Linked DNA regions of Mus musculus. The protein of the gene in region 1 interacts with the protein of each later gene in a biochemical or structural test. Links are inferred from orthologs where the notes say so. Each region holds a gene or a part of one and is shown on either strand. Other genes may lie near its edges.

Evidence for each region.
Region 2: the proteins of Tek (region 1) and Angpt4 form a complex in vitro, tested with the Homo sapiens proteins (2 studies listed by BioGRID and IntAct). The link is inferred for Mus musculus from reciprocal best matches to the Homo sapiens genes TEK and ANGPT4.
Region 3: the proteins of Tek (region 1) and Angpt2 form a complex in vitro, tested with the Homo sapiens proteins (7 studies listed by BioGRID and IntAct, with this or other methods). The link is inferred for Mus musculus from reciprocal best matches to the Homo sapiens genes TEK and ANGPT2.

The regions. Positions count from the first base shown.
Region 1 is NC_000070.6:94,737,881-94,742,270, reverse strand, and holds the start of Tek (angiopoietin-1 receptor isoform 2 precursor), read right to left. Parts: upstream 2,983-4,390; 5' UTR 2,631-2,982; coding exon 2,579-2,630; intron 1-2,578. UniProt on the Homo sapiens protein: Tyrosine-protein kinase that acts as a cell-surface receptor for ANGPT1, ANGPT2 and ANGPT4 and regulates angiogenesis, endothelial cell survival, proliferation, migration, adhesion and cell spreading, reorganization of the actin cytoskeleton, but also maintenance of vascular quiescence.
Region 2 is NC_000068.7:151,942,207-151,945,837, reverse strand, and holds the end of Angpt4 (angiopoietin-4 precursor), read right to left. Parts: intron 2,535-3,631; coding exon 2,404-2,534; intron 1,345-2,403; coding exon 1,184-1,344; 3' UTR 501-1,183; downstream 1-500. UniProt on the Homo sapiens protein: Binds to TEK/TIE2, modulating ANGPT1 signaling. Can induce tyrosine phosphorylation of TEK/TIE2. Promotes endothelial cell survival, migration and angiogenesis.
Region 3 is NC_000074.6:18,738,763-18,742,736, reverse strand, and holds the start of Angpt2 (angiopoietin-2 precursor), read left to right. Parts: upstream 1-1,174; 5' UTR 1,175-1,458; coding exon 1,459-1,746; intron 1,747-3,974. UniProt on the Homo sapiens protein: Binds to TEK/TIE2, competing for the ANGPT1 binding site, and modulating ANGPT1 signaling. Can induce tyrosine phosphorylation of TEK/TIE2 in the absence of ANGPT1.

The DNA.
Region 1 (4,390 bases):
TTTCTTTCCTCCTGGAGAGATGTCATAGAAAAATTAGACTCTTCCTGGAAGTTCTTTCAGGGTAGGGCTAAGGGGGAAGTGCTAACAAGAGCAATGGTTGGAAGGGAGAGTTTCTGTAGAAGGCCAGATCTTCCCTTGGAAAACAATCCCAAGAGGTGTCCTGATCCCAGTCCAAGGAGAAGGCTCCTGGGACCACTTTCCTGACCTTACTATTGCGTTTCCTTTGCCAGCCCAGACAACATCTCTGTTATCTCTGAATCCAGTTGTTTAAAATGTCACACAAGACAGGAAAGACAGCTGAAGATGTGTGACCTGAAGACTTCCTATCAGTGTGAATCATATAGGACATCCATGATGAAACAGAAGTGGTGTTTTTTTTTTTTTTAAGTGTACACAATTCTTTAGAGCCTGCAGCCAGGTTTGGTGTAGATATGGAATTAAAGAGGGGGTAACACTGCTAAGTTCTATGAGAACTTGTTTGCAAGCTGAAATTGGCAATAATACTCCAGTGGAAGGAGCAAGCGCCAGAATCTGAGTTGTTATGGAAGCCACAAACCTCTTCCAGTTTATGCCTTAGCAGGCTGCTTTGCTACCCAGAGCAACCTTTATTGAGGCAAATACAGAGTCTTTATTCTTCCATTATGTTTGTTCAACAAAAAAGGAATATCAGGCCACCAAGTAGACTAGACATATAAGCTCTATATCCCCTTCCACATTAATGAAGTACACTATTAGAGTCTGACTTGAAGGAAGAACTCCTGAGGCTGTTTGTGTGATCACCAAGCCTCACTCAAGTTCATGGAAGCTTGGGTACAGAATGAAAGTCAGGAATTAACAGAGACCTTCAGCAGAAACCAAGCTTTCTGTGTTCTACTTTCTGACAAGAACATGACCTCCTCCTTCTTGTCATCTTCGCTCCAGAAATCAGTTTCTAGCATCAGTGAGACAACTGTTTTGGAACAGAACTTTTTTGTATGAATTCATGACAACTTTTCTAAACTTATTTGTAAAATGCCATAAAAAAGTCACTTAAGGAGAAAGACTAAGTTAAAATAGTTCTGTGTATGTGTGCGTGCACATACGTATGTGAACATACTATTAGTTTATTTAACTTAAAACTAAGTCAGAGCAGAACTAGATACTTGGACTTTGTATTATTATAGTCTCTGGTGTAAAATCAGTCCCATATTCTATAACGCTGATCAGTGTGACTTGTGGAAAGCAAGATGAAAGTGAGGAACCATAATTATTATTTAAAAGTACATAGTAACAAAGACATCAACCTGTCTCTACATTAATATAAAGACGAATCCAAATTTACAGCAATATATTATGCTGTTATGTTAATTATAAGTAAGTTACTACATAAGTAATTGGCACCATCTTAGATACTCTTTCAGCAATTTACATTACTCTTAAATATTATTAAATTTCTGATATGTTGGTTGTTGAAATCAAATTGAAAAGTTACATGAGAAATTGCACACAATTATCATACTTTACTGGGTTAAATTTTTTTGAATACTTAACAAAATATTTAAACATATAGAAAAATATAAAAGTAACATCAAAAGTATTTCTTTGTATCAAATGCTATACTATATATAGCCTCACCATTAAGTTTGATAAATTTTCCCAAATTCATCTCCTGTGTCAATTACATTTTTATCATAATAATTAGAATACTTCCAAACCAATTCGGGGAATCCTATGGCAATGATAATGTGTCTGTGATCTGCAGTTTGGGTCCCCATGTTTCTCCTAGCATGGTTTACCTATGCTGAGTGAGTTACAAGGCACCCCACTGTGTAGAGCCTGTGATACACATACAGAACCCAAGCTCATCCTGGCTGCCCTCTCTAGAGGTGCCACTACAGGACTTGGCAAAATACTGAATCCGGTGAGCTTGGTAATTGACTACATTTTAGTTAGCTTGCTAGGGCTAATCTTTATGTGAAACATCAAAAAATTAAAGTCAGTGGCATAGCCCTAACTCCTGGACCCCTACCTAAAAGACGAAAAGCCCTTAACTGGACTACTGAAATTAAAAAGCATGGAGATACACAATCTTTACAGAAAAGTGGTCTTGTTTTTAGTTAACAATGACGTTTTTGTACATGGCTAGGTAAGAATTTTGTTTCTACCAAAAAAAAAAAAAAAAATCATTGAAGTCTTTCTTTAAAGTGATTACAACCCAAATTTGTTGTTATGGATAAGAAAACACCAGAATGAGAGGCAAGAAAGAATACTCCAAAAAAAAAAACAAAACAAAACAAAAAACAAAAAACAAACAAACAAAAAAAAAAACCAGATCCCTTCAAATAAGGTGACTTACTCAGTCCTGGGAGAGACCGTGCAACCCAGGAGGCAGCATCTGTCTACAAGAGATGGCTAGAAAACCCAGCTGGTGCCGCTGGAATCTGAACTTCAAAACCGTTGCCATGTGTAAACTGGAGAGTCTCAGAAAAGCAGTGTCAGGGTCACCAAATCGAAGGTTTGGTGAGAGAGAGAATGGCGAGAAGTCACTGTTGTTAAAACATGACACACACACACAAATAAACATCAAGCCAAAACTTACCATAAAGGAGCAAGCTGACTCCACAGAGAACTAAGCCGGCTAAAGAGTCCATACTTCCCCAGATCTCCCCATCCAGCGTCCACAGATGAGCATGAGTCCCTGGGAAGCTTTCAACAACTCACAACTTTGCGACTTCCCGCTCGCATGGTCCACTCGCTCTTGTTTACAAGTTGGCGGCAAGGAGAAACACCACAGAAGCAGGCGGTAACAGTCTCATTTCTGTCTGAGCACAGGGAGGGTTAAGTTCCTTTTTCCTGTTTCCTTTGCAGATTAGGATGGGAAAGGCTGTATCTTAAAGGCACTTGGTATCAGCAGGGCTTGGGGCAGAGCGAGCCCTATCCATCTTGCCCTTCATCCAAGGCTTATCTTCTGCTCCTGCTCCGGCTCCTGCTCCTGCCTTAACTGGATTGTGGGGCAGAGGGATCTTTGTTACAAGTAAGGTCCTGGTCAGCATTTTCAGGAACAATAGGGGTATCCTCTCATAGGCCAGGAATTGAATAACAAGCCCTCCACCTATGTATGGTATGCGATGAGGACCAGCCCTTGCAGGCTAAGCTGTTCTCTGGGGTGCATTTGGGATCCCTGACAGAAGGGGCTTTGGGGCACGGGGAGCAGCACTTGCTCTCCTGTTTTTGTTTTCACTCACAGGGTTTGAATTGGGCAACAAAGTTTCCTGTGATGAGAAATCATAACCTGGAAGGCAATCAATTTGAGGGAGCGTGGTTGAGGTCAGCTCTCAGCGGAGCCACTAGAGACCAGATTCCACAGCCATTAGCCTATTTTCTTACACCCAGATCGCCTGCCTGTTGGCCCTGAGCCCAAATATACGCATGCTACTGGCTACAGCTTTAATTTTTATTAGCATTTCATCTGAGTGTGATCTAATTCGTTGGAGAACTTGGCACAGGAAGATTTTAGTAATGTGAATAATTTCATAGTTATTGGCAAACAGAATTTCAGATGCAAATTATATACAAAAATATGGGAGAGGCACTTTTTAAGAGAGTGACTTGCTCTACAGCTTAGGCAAGCCTGGAACTAGCCTGGAGCTCATGATAACGATGCTCCCTCAGCCTCCCGAGTGTTGATACTACAATCATAAACCACACTCTTGGATTACTCCGGAGATTTTTAAATAATCAGGCAGGTGAGATGGCTCAGCCGGTAAAACCAAGACTGAGTTTAATTCAAAGCCCGTGTGATGGAAAGACAGACACCTGAAAATGTGCACCTCCCATGTGACCTAAATGAATACACACATTCATAAAAACTATAAACAACAAAGTTATAAATCATCTCTATAAAGACCCAACAGAAGTGATTATGTCTACAGGAGCAGAGTGATGGATGAGTGATGAATTCTCCAGCAAGCTCAGGCACCTGAACCTTCCTTACCCAGGTGATCACTTGCTCTCACTGGGAATGAAGCAAGCATGCCACTAGACACACGACCTTGCATCAAGGAAGGACTGCCCCTCCCTTTCCCACCAGCCACAGGAAGAGACACGGAGGCACTGCTAGTCTTGGTGGATTTCTGCCTTAGGTTTTATCACTTCAGGGCTGATCTTGAGTGCCTGTAATGCTTCCAATCTGCAGGGGTAGATAGCTCAGCTCTGTCCTCAGGCACAGCTGAGGGCAGACCCTGACTCAGCTGTTAACAGGTCAAGAGCAGACACTGAGGACTAGTAATGTTTCCAACCTGAGGAGTGCATAGCCCTGTTCAGTCCTCAGGCACACCTGAGGGCAGACACTGGCTCAGAGGTAAGATTATGATAGCTATTTCCATTCCAGAGACTTTTAAATGGCAATAGT
Region 2 (3,631 bases), on another chromosome or scaffold:
TTTCTTTTCTTTCTCTTCCCTTCCCTTCCCTTCCCTTCCCTTCCCTTCCCTTCCCTTCCCTTCCCTTCCCTTCCCTTCCCTTCCCTTCCCTTCCCTTCCCTTCCCTCCCCTCCCTCTCCTCCCCTTCCCTCCCCTCCCCTCCCCTCCCCTCCCTCCCCTCCCTCCCCTCCCCTCCCCTCCCCTCCCCTCCCCTCCCCTCCCTTCCCCTCCCCTCCCCTCCCCTCTCTCTCTCTTTTTCTTTCTTTTCTTTTTTTTTTTTTTTGAGACAGGGTTTCTCTGTGTAGTCCTGGCTGTCCTGGAACTCACTCTGTAGATGAGGCTGGCCTCAAACTCAGAAATCCGCCTGCCTCTGCCTCCTAAGTGCTGGGATTAAAGATGTGCGCCACCACTGCCAGGCCTAGTCCTATTTTCAAGGAAATAACTTTGAGAAAGCTGCTTCCCCTAACTTCTTCATGGGTGACTGTAAGGCTTGGAAACATATGAAAGACGCTGACAAGTCCTGCAGTTAGGAAAGTCTATTCTCTTTATTTAACCTGCTGTTTCTCTCTCACTTTATCCAAAGTACTTTAGAGAGGAGCCTTAGTTATTACCTATGGAAAACACTCTAGGGCACACTGGCGTAAAAAGATCCCTTCTCCTATTTCTAGAAGCCTCTGAGAGATCAGGTCTGACTCAGTCATTGAAGTCCAAGAGCCACGGGGCTCGGGGAATGGTGGCTAGCACTGGGGACTGGGAGTGGGAACAGTGTTCACCAGCCTTGGAAAGAAAGTCTGCGGACATCTCAAGCCGAGAGAAACTTGGAATTAGAGAAGAGTGAGAGACTCTCGTTCTCACCTGGAGGAGGGCACCCCAGGCTGCAAGATTTCCCCACCTGCTGCAACCCCACCCTCTGAGGGGGTCAAGTTCAGTCTGCCTCAGGTCATGGCAGGGAGTCCCGGCATGCAGCAGGAGGGGAAAGAGTATGGGTTCCACAGAGGCAGGTGCCTCAAGCACCCAGCATTTCACACTAGAGGGGCACAGGGAGGCAGGTGACTCTTGTAATTCAGGGGCAAGGTAAGCTGGCTCCGATGTTCCAGAATGTCAAGATGAGCCCTGGGCACTGATTTCTGGGCAGGGCCCAGCGTGCACAGAGTCACCTGGGTTGAGAATCCTCCTACGGCATCAGTCTCTGCAGGGCTGTGTGTCAGGCACCCATTGGCCTCAGCATCATGCGTGTGCCGTGCAGTGAGTAGCTGGGGCCTCGGAAGTAGTGCCAGCGGATGCCATTGATCTTGTGCAAGTGCTGATGAACTGAATAGTAGATGCCATTGAGGTTGGAGAGGCCACAGGCATCAAACCACCACCCTAGTGGAAGAGGGAGGACAGAGGGTTTGGAGGAGGTGAGATTGGTGGCCGAGATTCAGGGAGGATAAGGCTCATGGACTGTCATTTTGGGGTGCCAATTTGCTGAAGGTGGTGGGCTGGGTATGGGTTGGGTATGGGCCAGGGCTTTGGAGGGTAGGAGAGGTTCCAGTCACACCGCAGGCCCCTTTGTGACTTCCTGCTGTGCCTCTGACACCCCTCTCTTCTTCCTGTTCCTTTGATGATCTCCTACCAGGCTCTGCCATGTCTTCCTGTTCACTCTAGTGGTCTCTGTGTTTGTGGATGTCCCTCTGCATGTCCTCTGTCTGTGTCATGTCTCTCTGTTGCCCTATCTTCCCCTGGGGCTCTGTCTCCAGTGTGTTCTGCACACTTCTAGCCCACCTATTGGACTTTAGTCCTCTCCTTGCTGTCTGCTGTCACCTGCACCTCTCTGCCTCTGCCACCTATGTCACTGCCTCTTCTGGTCCCTGTATCTGTGAGTTGGGTCTCATTTACCAGTGCTGCTCCCATTCCATCTTCAGCCTCTGGTCTTTTCCCTGCCAGGAGTATCGCCTGACAGAGAGGTGGGCAGGGGAGCTGCCCTCCCTGCTTCTGGTCTCTCTCATGATGTTTCTTCCTGGCCTGGGGAGTAGGAGAATCCTCAGACAAGAGGGTGGGATGGATGGGAACATCATGCCTTCCTGGAGCTACCCTTGCCATCTCCCAGTACAACCCAGTGGGAACTCCAGTGACTAGAAAGAGGGAGGTTTGGCTAGAGTCTCACCAGGAGCACCCATCTCCAGACAATATTTGGACACACCCACCTCCAACATCATCTGGACACACCCACCAGCAGGTATTGTCAGATACACCCACCTCCAACATCATCTGGACACACCCACCAGCAGGTATCATCAGATACACTCACCTCCAGATATCATCTGGACACACCCACCAGCAGGTATCATCGGATACACTCACCTCCAGACAGCATCAGAACACATTCACCTCCAGATATCATCTGGACACACCCACCAACAGGTTTCATCATGATAAACTCACCTCCAGACAGCATCTGAGCACATTTACACATGCAGTTATCATTGTCCATGTCTTTGGTGCTGAACTTGGTGCCCTGAGGAGCCAGGCTGTTCTTGCGCCCTGCTGAACTGCTGCTGTCATTCACAGAGAGGCTGGAGGCAGTGGTGAGGTGGGGTAAGAAAGGGGTACAGAGAGTCAGGCTGGGGCTCCTCCACAGGTTCTGCTCTGGAAAAGTTTCCAACCTGTTGTTTTTGCATGAGAAATGTACCCTGATCTGACCAGGTCATTGTCCTTCATGGTGCCCTCCTTATTTGCCACCCTGGGGTCACAGCGCTCACCGCTGCTCACCGCTCCTGGGACTTTTATACTGGCTGGATGTGGGAGCTGTGTGTGGGAGACACAGAGTGAGGAAAGCAGGTAGAAGTCTTTCAAGCATCTGCCCTGGGCCAGGTATTGTTACAGTGTCTTGAGAAGGCTAACTCATTTTCATTTAAACCTCATAATACCTTTTCCTATGCAAGAAAAGGGGGATGCCAAGAGCCGCAGGAACCTGCTCAGGTTCTCAGACTCAGTCACCAGCAGTGCCAGTGTCCAGTCTGGAGCAGCCTGGTACAGGCGGGGTTACATGCTCTTTGCCTGCCAGCCCTGCCAGTTCAACATTACAGCTGGTCTATTCCACACTTCTTTCATAAAGCCCTCCTAGCCAGTCCAGCCCTCATGGATCAATCCTCAGGGACCCCCCCTTCCTACAAGGGGACAAAGGGTCTCTATTTTCTTACCAAACTCTGTGACTATGTCCAAGCCTCCAGGGTGATCATGACTGTGGGGTTAGGGTAGGTCAGGGTGCCTGGATTCAAACCCCAACATGTCCAGTCTGTCATTGCCTGGCACTGGGAAGGCATCTTCACTCCACTGAGACTCATCTTCACTTATTCATAGGTGACAAGAGACTGTGACTTTGTTCACCATATGATTTAGTGATACCATTCAGTGAGTGTGCTGAGGCGGGTTTGGTGAGAGCCCTGCACATTCAGGACCCGGCATTCAGTCCTTGGCACAGGTTGAAAAACATAGGGAAAGCTTACCTGAGCCGCTGAGGCAGGAGCTGGCTCAGGTCACTAAGAGGCTTCTATATTATATATACTTATATGCAATATATATTATATAGTATAAGTATATATATATATGTGTGCAGTATATATATATAGTATATATACAATATATAGTATACTATATAATAAAATATACT
Region 3 (3,974 bases), on another chromosome or scaffold:
AAACATAACCCTCTTCTGTTGCCAACTCGGGAGCCAGTCTGCTACAGGATGCATTTAAAAAAGATTCAGTTAGTTCTCTTCCAAACAGACTCTGTGAAAAACAACATTCCCCATGCAGATTCTAGATTCACCTATGATCTAAAATCATGACTCTCCTAGCCTCCAGAAGCCGAGGATGTGTAACACAGAGTTGCCCTGGGGTTTCTGGAGGCGGACGTGGTCCTTTGAGTCAGGGATGCTGGAGTCTTCCCAGTACCGATCTCTGCAGCATTAACTTCTAGTCATGAAGGGGTGGTGACTCTGGACCAGCAGAGCCACAGAGCTGGAAGTGTTTTAGAAGTCAGTGCAGCCCCCAGCTTTTATGGCCAGGGGCTTTTGAACTTAATTAAAAGGGGAAAGTGATTTGCCTGAGCCCACTGACTGGGACTAATTTAATCAGGAACATGCCACAGAGTGATGAGCCCGAGGAAACCCTGATACAGTGAAGGAAAAGGTGTATGTTTGTTTCCTCTCGACATACTTCACTCAAATATCTATTGTTACTTAACAGACAATTAATCAGGCCAAACTACTTTAAGTTTTATTTGTATAGTATTTTGTGTTAAGGCACAGACATGTGAGTGCTGAGAAAACTGATGTTGGTAACTTGATTTAATAATATCAAACTGGGTTAAAATAAAAAAAAATGTGCATAACTTAAAAAAAAAACCAAATACCAACAAGACTTTACTTCCCCTTGGAAAAGCACATTTACAAGGGCTGATCTTAGCCTTTATATTTACAATAAAGAAAATAAACCAAGGTCCCGATATAGCTGTAATTTTATTCCTAAAAGAACAGAAACTTTCACTATGCTTTAAAATTAAAGTGATTACCTCAGATACTCTGCAAGCTTAGCCTACAAACGAGCAGACAGACAACAGAGCCCCAGCTACTCTCTAGGAAATAATTAGGGTGGTGCCTCTGACATGCCCAGGGGTCTTGTGGCTGGTCTGTGTTCCCAGAAGGCTTCTGCAGTACACAGTCCTTTGGGGCAGTAAGCACTATGCTCTGATTTTTCCTGTTGCCTGGCTAGTGACCCCCTACAGGAAGATAGTGGGTGAGCCAGGGGGCGGAGCGGCTGGCTGCACATGTCTGGCTGCTCTTATCAACTTATCATATAAGGGAAGGAAAGTGATTGATTCGGATACTGACACTGTAGACTCAGGGGAGAAACAAAGAGTCCGTGCAGACCTCTGGAGTGAGCAGGGCTGCTCCTTCCTCTCAGGACAGCTCCGAGTGTGCCGGGGAGAAGAGAAGAGAAGAGACAGGCACTGGGAAAGAGCCTGCTGCGGGACGGAGAAGGCTCTCACTGATGGACTTATTCACACGGCACAGCCCTGTGCCTTAGACAGCAGCTGAGAGCTCAGGACGCAAGTTTGCTGAACTCACAGTTTAGAACCCAAAAAGAGAGAGAGAATGTGGCAGATCATTTTCCTAACTTTTGGCTGGGATCTTGTCTTGGCCTCAGCCTACAGTAACTTTAGGAAGAGCGTGGACAGCACAGGCAGAAGGCAGTACCAGGTCCAGAACGGACCCTGCAGCTACACGTTCCTGCTGCCGGAGACCGACAGCTGCCGATCTTCCTCCAGCCCCTACATGTCCAATGCCGTGCAGAGGGATGCACCCCTCGACTACGACGACTCAGTGCAAAGGCTGCAGGTGCTGGAGAACATTCTAGAGAACAACACACAGTGGCTGATGAAGGTAGGAAGGTGGGCTGGCTCTGGTGAGCAAGAACTAATAGCCCTGGCTTTATCAGGGACTGGGGCTGCGGAGGTGGGCTGCAAACATCCTCTTTTGTGCTGCCCTGCAGCAAAGCAGTCACAGAGAGAAGAGCCACAGAGGGGTTGTCTGAAAAGAATGCCAGAATCTGGTCAGAAAACCCCCTGAACTTAGGAATCTTTGCTAGCCAAGCAGAGGAAGTGCGCTTCTCTGCAGATCGCGCGTGCTGTTTTGTTTGAGTAGCTGAGACTAAGTGACACCCATTACCAGGATCTTCTCAGCGGGTTGTAGGCATGTGAGGGAGGCTGTGAACAAGACAGCACGGAGCCAGGAAAAACGTGACAATCACGTTAATTACGGATACTTAACGGATGGAGTCAAGTGCTTTACCAATTTCCTGAATTTCTTTACGAAAATAGATTATGACTCTTGGTAAAAGAGAGGAAATTAAATAAAGCCAACCTTGTGTTCTCAGAGTCTCAGGGCTGCGCTGTGAAGGGGCTGCCATCTGGAAATGGCACCGTGTTTCCCAAGTGTCCCGGAGACACTGCAGGCAGACCCCCGTTCAGTTCCAGAGACAGGCTCTGAGCTTGTCCCCACGTGGGACTGCTATGCTCGTGCCACGCCGGGCGGGCTGAGAGGGTCTGACAGTTTGTTCTTGGGGCTGCGACGACTGCTCTGTTTCATGGCCTTTTTATAGACCGTAACCAAAATAAGACACTGAAAGGGTCTGTTTTGCTTTCACAAATGATTGTTTTCTACAAAACCTCAAATGACCCCGGAGTATTCTTTATGTGAACCATATGTATTCCACAGGAAGTTTAAACAAAGAATGTAGATAGTAGATGAATCGTTACACATTGTGACAATGACATCACATGCTCACAAGGAAATAGTTTAAAGTCATATAAATCTTTTAAAATCCTGTGGACTTCATTTAGTACGTCTTCCCAGAAAGACATAATTTGCTTTTCTCAGATGTCACCAGAATCTCTTGGTTTGATGCCCTGCCTTAATCTGAGAACAGAACCGGGGCCCAAATCTATGTTTCTCACGAATACCCCTACTTTCTTAAGTGGACAAGCTTTTGCTGGAACCCGGAGTCTAAATGAATGAGTGTCACTGGCCTTAATCTTGTGGAGAGAGGGGGAATTTTTCAAATCAAAGAACAAAGATTGCTCAGGACTACAGGCACACAAAAATTTTTTTTTTCTTCTATTTTTTTCCTGGGTGATTTCCTCAGTTTTTCTCCTTTGCAAAACTCACAGATAGCTGAACACTAAACTTTAATGTTAAGAGACATGTCCCAGGGCCTGGAGTGGGGAGGGGTCCCAGGTATCTGCGTGTCTCTTTGGACTTCTTTGGGAACTGTCTTGCACACATTCAGGGACCTTCCACATCTACTGTGGCGTTGGGGGGTGCAGAGCTCTGCAGAGGGAGAGGCACAGCCTTCTAGTAAACACTTTAATCTGCCAACTGCCAAGTCCTCTGCTAAGATAAACAGTCACCAAACCAGGGGGGAAAATGTTTTGCCAAGGGCAACGCTGCTCATTTCTTAGGCTCAAGCTCAGCAGAGTCCAGGCTAGGCAATACCTGGGCTTGGCTTTCCTGCGCAGGGAAACCACATCTCCTGCGGGGCTTTGCAAAGCAGCTTAGAGACAGGAGGAGGAACTGGAAGTAAGGTGGCCACAATCTCCTCCTTCCCAGGGTCTCTTGGTCAATATTTGAACAGTAGCTGGGTGGTATCTCAAAAGCCCTTCTTTCGGCTTTTTAGCTAACTCTGCCGGAGCAGAGCAGAGGGGCAGGGCGGCTCAGGGCTTATCTGGTCATCAGCTCCGCACCTGCTCCCATCAGCACCTGCTCCAGCTCCGGGAGAGCGAGAGCCGCACCTGAGCAAGGCAATTTGCCAGCTCATTCACCGGGTTTATGGGCTCCAGGCACGGAAACAAAAGCAAAAGGCAAATATGAAGCCCACTCGGAATGATTGCATGAAATCCCTCTGCTTGTTTTCGTCCTCTGTGTTTTGGCACCTGCAATAATAAACACTGCTTTTCTCTTCGGGAAGAAAATAAGGACTAGTGGAACGGCAGATAAGCCGGGTAGCTAACAGAGCAGCAGCAGCGAGCACCATCTATTTATAGATTATCACAGAAAGAAAAAGGCAGGGGTTGATTTCATTGTCAAACGTGTTTTCTTTCAGCTGTTTTTAA